2 linked regions of the Caenorhabditis elegans genome follow. The protein of the gene in region 1 interacts with the protein of each later gene in a pairwise test. Each region holds a gene or a part of one and is shown on either strand. Other genes may lie near its edges. The genes, in order: W01B11.1 and C24D10.2.

The links.
Region 2: the proteins of W01B11.1 (region 1) and C24D10.2 interact in a two-hybrid assay, tested with the Caenorhabditis elegans proteins (one large-scale study listed by BioGRID).

Annotation. Positions count from the first base shown.
Region 1 is NC_003279.8:3,297,284-3,301,043, forward strand, and holds W01B11.1 (uncharacterized protein), read left to right. Parts: upstream 1-2,286; 5' UTR 2,287-2,322; coding exon 2,323-2,361; intron 2,362-2,405; coding exon 2,406-2,512; intron 2,513-2,966; coding exon 2,967-3,207; 3' UTR 3,208-3,233; downstream 3,234-3,760.
Region 2 is NC_003282.8:5,161,361-5,165,030, reverse strand, and holds C24D10.2 (uncharacterized protein), read right to left. Parts: upstream 1,693-3,670; 5' UTR 1,639-1,692; intron 1,494-1,638; exon of another isoform or gene 1,473-1,493; intron 1,314-1,472; 5' UTR 1,290-1,313; coding exon 1,031-1,289; intron 899-1,030; coding exon 771-898; 3' UTR 680-770; downstream 1-679. Other genes in the region: nspd-3 (Nematode Specific Peptide family, group D), read left to right, coding at 1,990-2,205.

The sequences.
Region 1 (3,760 bases):
GAAAAAACTTGAGAAAACTACTACTTCAGATGAGAAGACGAGAGAGGGAAGGGCATAAAATAAAAAATAAAAAAAAAGCGAGAAGAAGAATTTGCAAGCTAAGGGAGATATTTGATTGCTTCTATTGAGCTTGACACTTTTCCTGAAAAAAAACGAATGTGAATTTTTTTAAAGTAAATAAAACTGAAATCATAAATAGGTGGAATTTGCGACGGGACATTCAAATTTTCTCAATAAAACTTTTTGGCGGGAGCTTCAAATTTTTTTCCCGAAAAAAAAGATTGGTAAGAAATTCAAATTTTCTGGCTATCAGAGAAACTTTGGCACAAAATTTAAGTTTTATTCAAACATTTTTGGAATTATATCATATATACATAGGTAACGTGGGCGTCTTATTTGCAACGTGGCCTACGAATTTAGTAATGGAAGATGTTTTTCCGCGGCCACCTATTTTTGGAATTTTTTAAAAATCAATGCAAAAAAAATCTCGAAAATTCAGAGACCAGTTACAGTGAAATACAATTTTTCCAAAAAAAAAAAACCAACCTGTTATTTCTGAAAACATAATTGACAAAAATCTAATTTTAAATTAAAAAAAACTAATTCTGAGCAGTTTGCAAAAGCTCGGCCACTAATATTTTTTCTGAAGGCCACGTTTTGTGGGATACCGGAGAGTCGTTGTGTGTCAATATGGCCGCGAAAGAAAATCGGTGGCCGTGTTTTTTTTCTGCCAAAAATAATAAGGGTGGCGTAACATGCATAAAATAATGTTAAACTTGATTTTAAAAATAGCGGATCCGTTTTAAAACAAATGCACCATTTTTGAAAATTTTCTCGGCCCGTGCTCAAAAATGTGATTTTAGCCATTTTTGGCCGTTCTTTTCAGAAATCCAGCTCCAGAAAAATGATCGACTCAAAATTTTAGACATGTGAACCTTTAAACCCGGGTCTGTGGGAATTCCCGTGTGAAAGTTGGCGAAATTCTGAGAATTGAATGATAAGTGATCAATTTTGATACGAAATCAAGTGATCAATAATAATTCACAGTTCATTTTCTGATCAAAAAACCACAAAAAATCACGTAAGAAGACGTCATTGAGACTTCTAGAAAGAGTGTGAGTGAGGAGAAAAAAGAAGGAGAAGAAGAAATTGCTTCCGGCTATGGGGGATGCCCTTCTTGCTCGCCGAGCACAAAAAAGAAGAGCAAATTTGTGTTTGTTTTTGTGTACTTTGGTGTTCTAATGGGGAGGAAACATATAAACAACGTTTTGTTTGTTTCTTTTTCGCAGAAAAATTCTATAGTTTGAGTATCCCGACATAAATTCTCTCCAGAAAATTTGAATTTCCCATCAAAAGTATTTCACAGAAAATTTGAATTCCCGCCAAAAATACATTGTAGACAATTTGAATTTCCCACCAAATTATATTCTCAGCACATTTTTAATTTCCCACCCAATTTTTATCTCAAAAAGTTACATTTCCGACCGATTTTTTTCTCGAAGAATTTGAATTTCCCAACAAAAAATTTCTTAGAAATTTAAATTTCCGGTCAGAATGTTACTTCGAAAAATTTGAATTTCCCGCCAAAAATATTTCTCAGAAAATTTGAATCTACCGCTAAAATTAAGCTCAAAAAATTTGAGTTTCCCGCCAAAAATATTTCTTAGAAAATTTGAATTTCCCGCCAAATGTGCCCTCAAAAAGTTCGAATTTTCGACCGATTTTGTTCTCGAATACTTTGAATTTTCCGCTAAAACTTTGCTCGAAAAATTTCGCTCCATATTTTTTCTCGGAAATAGAATTTTTTAAATTTAAAAAACCTTTTTTTTATACATAAGTTTTAAACGTAATTTTTAATTGCTACATTATCGTTTCAAAGGAACAAGCTCAAAAAAAAATGTTTTCAGCGCCGGGACCCAAAAACGAAAAAGTTATTTTAGAGTAGAAAATGTTGGTATTTATTGACAACCCGTTAGGTCAACTACAAATAAGTTTTAGTGAATCAAAAATATAGTTCAACAACGTGTTAGTCGGCAGGGAAAATATAAAATACGAAAGACACAAAAACTAGAGAATAGGTACACTAAACATCAGATTTTAAACTGAAAATAACGGGTCTTGTCACGAGCAAAACTTTTAAACTACAGTACTTCCCACGAGTTAAAAAAACGTTATCACATTAAAAATATTTGTATTGATTTTTTTAAACAAAGATGCCGGTTAAATTTATTTTTGAAAATTGAAAAAATATAAATTTAAATGTTTTCGTGAACTTATTTCTCAATCACAATTTGAACGGTTCATTCGATTTCGCAACACAACATGGGCGACGACGCTTACCAGTTTTTGGCTCCAGATTTAGTAAGTTTACATTTATTTTCAGGCAACAGAAAGCCAAATTTCAGCTCGCTCCTCCACCACCAGTCCAACAACCGCCAGCAGTTGCTCCAGGAGCATCACGTCCCGCACCTGCTCCGTCGAATGAGCTTCCACCCGCGTCGGAGGCAAAGAAGTAGGAACACTTTTTTGGATTTTGCTTTTCAAATTTAACATTGCCTGATTTTTTAATATAATTTTTTTCCAAATTGCTGGAAATTTCTGAAAAAGTTATTTAGGGGTACTGTAGAAGTCTTCTAGGGTTTCTGTAGTTTTGGAAAAAGGGAGTTTTTGTATGTTGAATGGGTACGGTAGGGGTACTTCAGGATTACTGTAACCTTGGGAAACCGTGGGAATTGCCTATTGCTGGAATATTGGGTGGTTAGCGGATGAATGTTGTAGGGGTACTGTAAGGGTACTGTAGGTTTGGAAGGTTTTAGTTTTTGCCAGTAGAAGCGATAGTAAATGGGCTTAGTGGAGGGATACTGTAGGGTACTTAACACTTTCCATTTTGTCATAGAATTTTGTAAAAATTAGAGAAGGTGTTCCATAGCAACTGAAAAATATACAAATTCGAAATAAATTTCCAGATTCCAAGTGCAACCGGCTAAAAAAGCATCAAAATCGAAGAGCAAATCGAAAGACTCATCGCCAAGCAACGGAAAGGAGAAGAAGAAGCGCACAAAGCGTTCGGGTGGCTCCAAATCGAAAGAATCTTCCGAGCCACCTCCATCATTGTCCGCCTTTAAATGGCAAATGGCATTCAGTGCATTTCTTGTCTTTATTTCAGTTGCTATCACTTTGATGGTATTGATTGATGGACTCATGTGATTGGAATAAAGATTGTATGGATTTTATTAATTTTTCTATTATTAACCAGTCATTTGCGTACCCGTCTTTTTTTGCGAAGTTTAAATGCTACTATTCGACCATATCCTAATCAACCCAACGTCAGTGGTGATCGGCAAATCGGAAAAACCGACAAATTGCCGGAATTGAAAATTTCCTGCAAATCGGCAAACCGGCAAACTGGCGGAATTGAAATTTCCGACAAATTGGCAAACCGGCAAATTACGGGATATGAAAATTTCCGGCAATCCGGCGAATCGGCGAATTGCCGGAATTGAATATTCCGGCACATCGGCAAACCGGCAAATTGCAAGAATTGAGATTTCCGGTAAATCTGCAAATTGCCGGAATTGAAATCTCCGGCACATCGGCAAACCGACAAATTCCCAGACATGAAAATTTCCAGCAAATCGGCAAATAGGCGGAATTGAAATTTCCGGCAAATCGACAATCGTCGATTTGCCGAATTTGCATATTTACATGAAACGGGAAAGAAATTTCAAAAAGGTACAGTTTTAAGTGTTTCCGTTTTATA
Region 2 (3,670 bases), on another chromosome or scaffold:
TGGAATATTGGAATTGTTCTATCCAAAAATTACTATACACTTTCAGGGTCATTTAGGAAATTAGTAGTACTAGAGAGAAGTGTATCTATATGCATATTTTCACATGTGGGATGAAATGGCAAGAGACACAGATAAATGAATGTTAAAATGTACTTTTGCATTACTTGTAGCCACTCTAAATTTGACTCATCACAAATTTTTCGATTTCAAATTTGGGATAGATTACTGTATTTAGGTTGAACAATCATGCATTTGATACAAACAATTTTGGTAATTGATAACATATCACACAACAAAAGCAGGCTCTGTGGACAACTTGGCCCGATTTCTCCAATTTCCCAAAAAGACAAATCTAAAGTAGGCAGGCTTGCAGGCATTAGAATAAGTGAAAAGATAATTAGTTAAAAGATAATTAGTTTGGCTAAATTTGGAGTGGCCGGGCTCCAGTCTTTTTTCGGATTTCGGTTTTTTCATTGATTTTTACATAATTTTGGAGGCTCGAAAAAGTTAGGCAGGCATTCAGGCATTCACATAAGTAGGCAGGACCTTGGAAATGGCGCAGGCGTAATGTAGGTGCGGCTACTTACTATTGAAATGAAAAGATGAAAAAAGACAGATATTTAGGCAGAGTTCTTAGCCGTAACGGCATGTCTGAGTAAGATAACAAAAAAAAACGAGCCATAAACCAATACTTTATTGAGAAGTGACAAATAGAATTGACACTTTAAAAATAAGCGGACGTCACTTTTTCATTTCTTTCGATTCGTCTCTCAATTAGAAGACGATTCTTCAAGTCCTCCCCACCATGGATGGATGTAGTGCACCATGTTTCCTCCAGACTTCACGCTGAAGAAGATTGCAACTGCAACGAAGACGAGCAGCACCACCAATCCGACAACTGAAAAGTATAACATTGTATAATTGAACCCTTCCGTGTAGGCACAATGTTGCCATACAAAATACTTTCTGTACAACTTTAAGGCAAGCTGGTAGGCATTATCGTGCCTGCAGTCTTGGTCCTCCAACTCACCGATTCCAGCACAAAATATGGTTCCCTCGATGCGAAACAAGAAGTTTTGCGACTCAAACTTGTCTGTCTTTCTGACTTTCTTGGTCTTCGACTTTCCCTTCGACTTCTTTCCTTTTTTGCCCTTCTTATCCTTCTTCTTTTTGTCTTCCTTCTTGTTCAGTGTTCCAAGTAGATCCAGCATTGCCGACGATCCTCCTTGAGGTTTAGCGCCTGGTGTTGGATCACCTGCATCCGTGAATGAGACGTTGTCATCAGCCATCTTTTTATTACGCCCTTTGTTTCTCTGAAATACGGAACATTATGAGAAATTCGACTGTGATCGTGACGAGACCCGCTGAACCCGCGCCTAATTGAGACCTATCAGTCTAAGTCTTTGAACGGGTCATAAAAACAGTAACACTTTCTCATTCACCGTATCTGCGAGTGCAAAACTTCAAAAAGTTCTATGGCTCTCAGAAAATCCCACAAAGCGCCAATGTCCCGATTGAAAAGCAAACGAATGTTTAGCGAATAACAAAAAGCTGAACTTTAGAGCATGCCACGCTCTTCGTTCGGCCCACACTTGCTCGATTGACACATCTTCCCAACCATTTCGAGTATAAACTCACCTTTTAGAGCTCGATGAGCAACCGGCGACTTTTGAATCCTTTGTTGTAAGCAATGAATTTTTGAATGAAGAAACAAGTAGACACGTCTGAAGGTGAGAATACTAATAGAATTATTTTATTTCAGAATGTCACGGGATATATTAAGTTTAAAATGTTTTTTCTTGTGCCTGTCGATTTATGCGATTTTTCAAAGAAATTTCAAAAGTTGAAAAGTTCATTTATACGACTTGCACTTTCCGTGGAATATTCTTATCTTCGCCCTAGATCTTTCCTTTTATAACGAGCCAGAAATCGTCAGTTTATCAGTTTTCTGAGCAAGTTTCTCTGAACAACCTCAAACGAAAGACAACGATGGCGGACAAGTCGGCTTACATGGGCGCTGGTGGCTATGGATCGGGCTACATGGGATCCAATGCTTCTTCGTCAGGTTATGCCCGCGAAGACTATGCACAAGGAGGCAATGGTGGTGGTGGACAGCAGCAGAACCAAGGATCCGGAGGAAACACCAACCCAGGTGGGCAGGTCTTCAAGGCCCGTACTGACCAGTCCTGTTACCTTGGACCATAAGAAAATCGACACAAGAAGAGCCAGTCGCCCAAAGAAGTGCAACTTTCATTGGCCCTTTTGTGCCCAATAAATATTATTTCTTAGCTCGTTTTTTGTTGTTTTTAATTTTTAAATTAATTAATTGCTTTCTCGAAAGCAATAAGTTCTCCTCGGTTGTTGGCAGGTGTTCCGTACACCGGTCTAAATTGGTCTAAATTGGTCTAAATTGGTCTTAATAAATCTCCAGTAAAAAGCTCCGTCTGTGTAAACAACTGGGGCACCGGCAAATTCGGGATTGATAACTTAACTTTTTCGTGATACATAATTACAATTTATTATGCAAATAAATTGGTTTTATATTTCAGTCTTATTCTTATATCTTCAGTTTTTTAGCTTCTGCAAATTTTGTTCCTTCGCGCGTCCGCTTGCTCATGGTTGATGGAGTTGATACTGCAGGCGTTACCAGTTCTGTTACCGGCTACCGGCTCACGGGTAAAACTGCCCGAAATCTTACTTGATCCTGGAACACTCATTATCGGCAACGAATTTGCGAGCTTCAGCTTCAATGGCAAATTTCTTGTTTCTAAAACAATGCTTGGCTCCTAAATTGTCCAGAAGAAACATTTACCTTTTGCAATTACTTCGAATTTTGGAATCTGCCAATCTGCGTTTTGCATTCGTTTCATGTATAGTAGGCCTAGATTATGCATATTACACAGATGCCAATACCACGGTACTCGGTTTCGACACAACAAATTTAACAATAAATGCAAACGGGTCTGCGCCTTTAAGGATTACTGTAGTTTTTTCCACGTAGCGTTTTTCATTTTCTAATGGACGAACTATTAAGTATTTGGATCATTTTGATGTTATTGTTCCACCAAATTTCTTTGTAAAATTGAAACAAATTCAGTGATTTTTGTGAGAAGTATCAAAAATTCGAGAGCTTCTATAGAGTAGTACGGTCGTTTTACGACTTTAAAACCTATTTCCCGTAGTTTTTCATCGATTTGAAATCGATTGGCATCAACAATTTTTCATGAAATATGTCAGAACATGATGAAACTCGAAATTTTAGGGTGTTCTCTAGAAGTTGCACGCACTGACTGTTTCAACTTTGTGATATATTGCAACTAAAAATAGAATTTTGCTACAGAAGTGGACGTATTTAGGTAGAATCTCTAAAGTAAAATCCATATATTTTCTACTCTATCTACAGGAACGTCATATTACTTGGCAAATACATATATTACGCAATGAACTACGTTTCCTATTACATCGCCGTTCCTGGTTGTCTCAAATATTACTGTGAGAATACATCAGAACAATTGCATTCCATTATTATGGGAAACTAATAGTCGACTTCCAGAGGATTGTCCATTCGTCATAATAATCAATTCACAATGAATCTGAAAACCTATGAACTTGCAATTTTAATAATGCTGCATACAACTCATCAAGAACACAAATAATTTAATAAAACTTC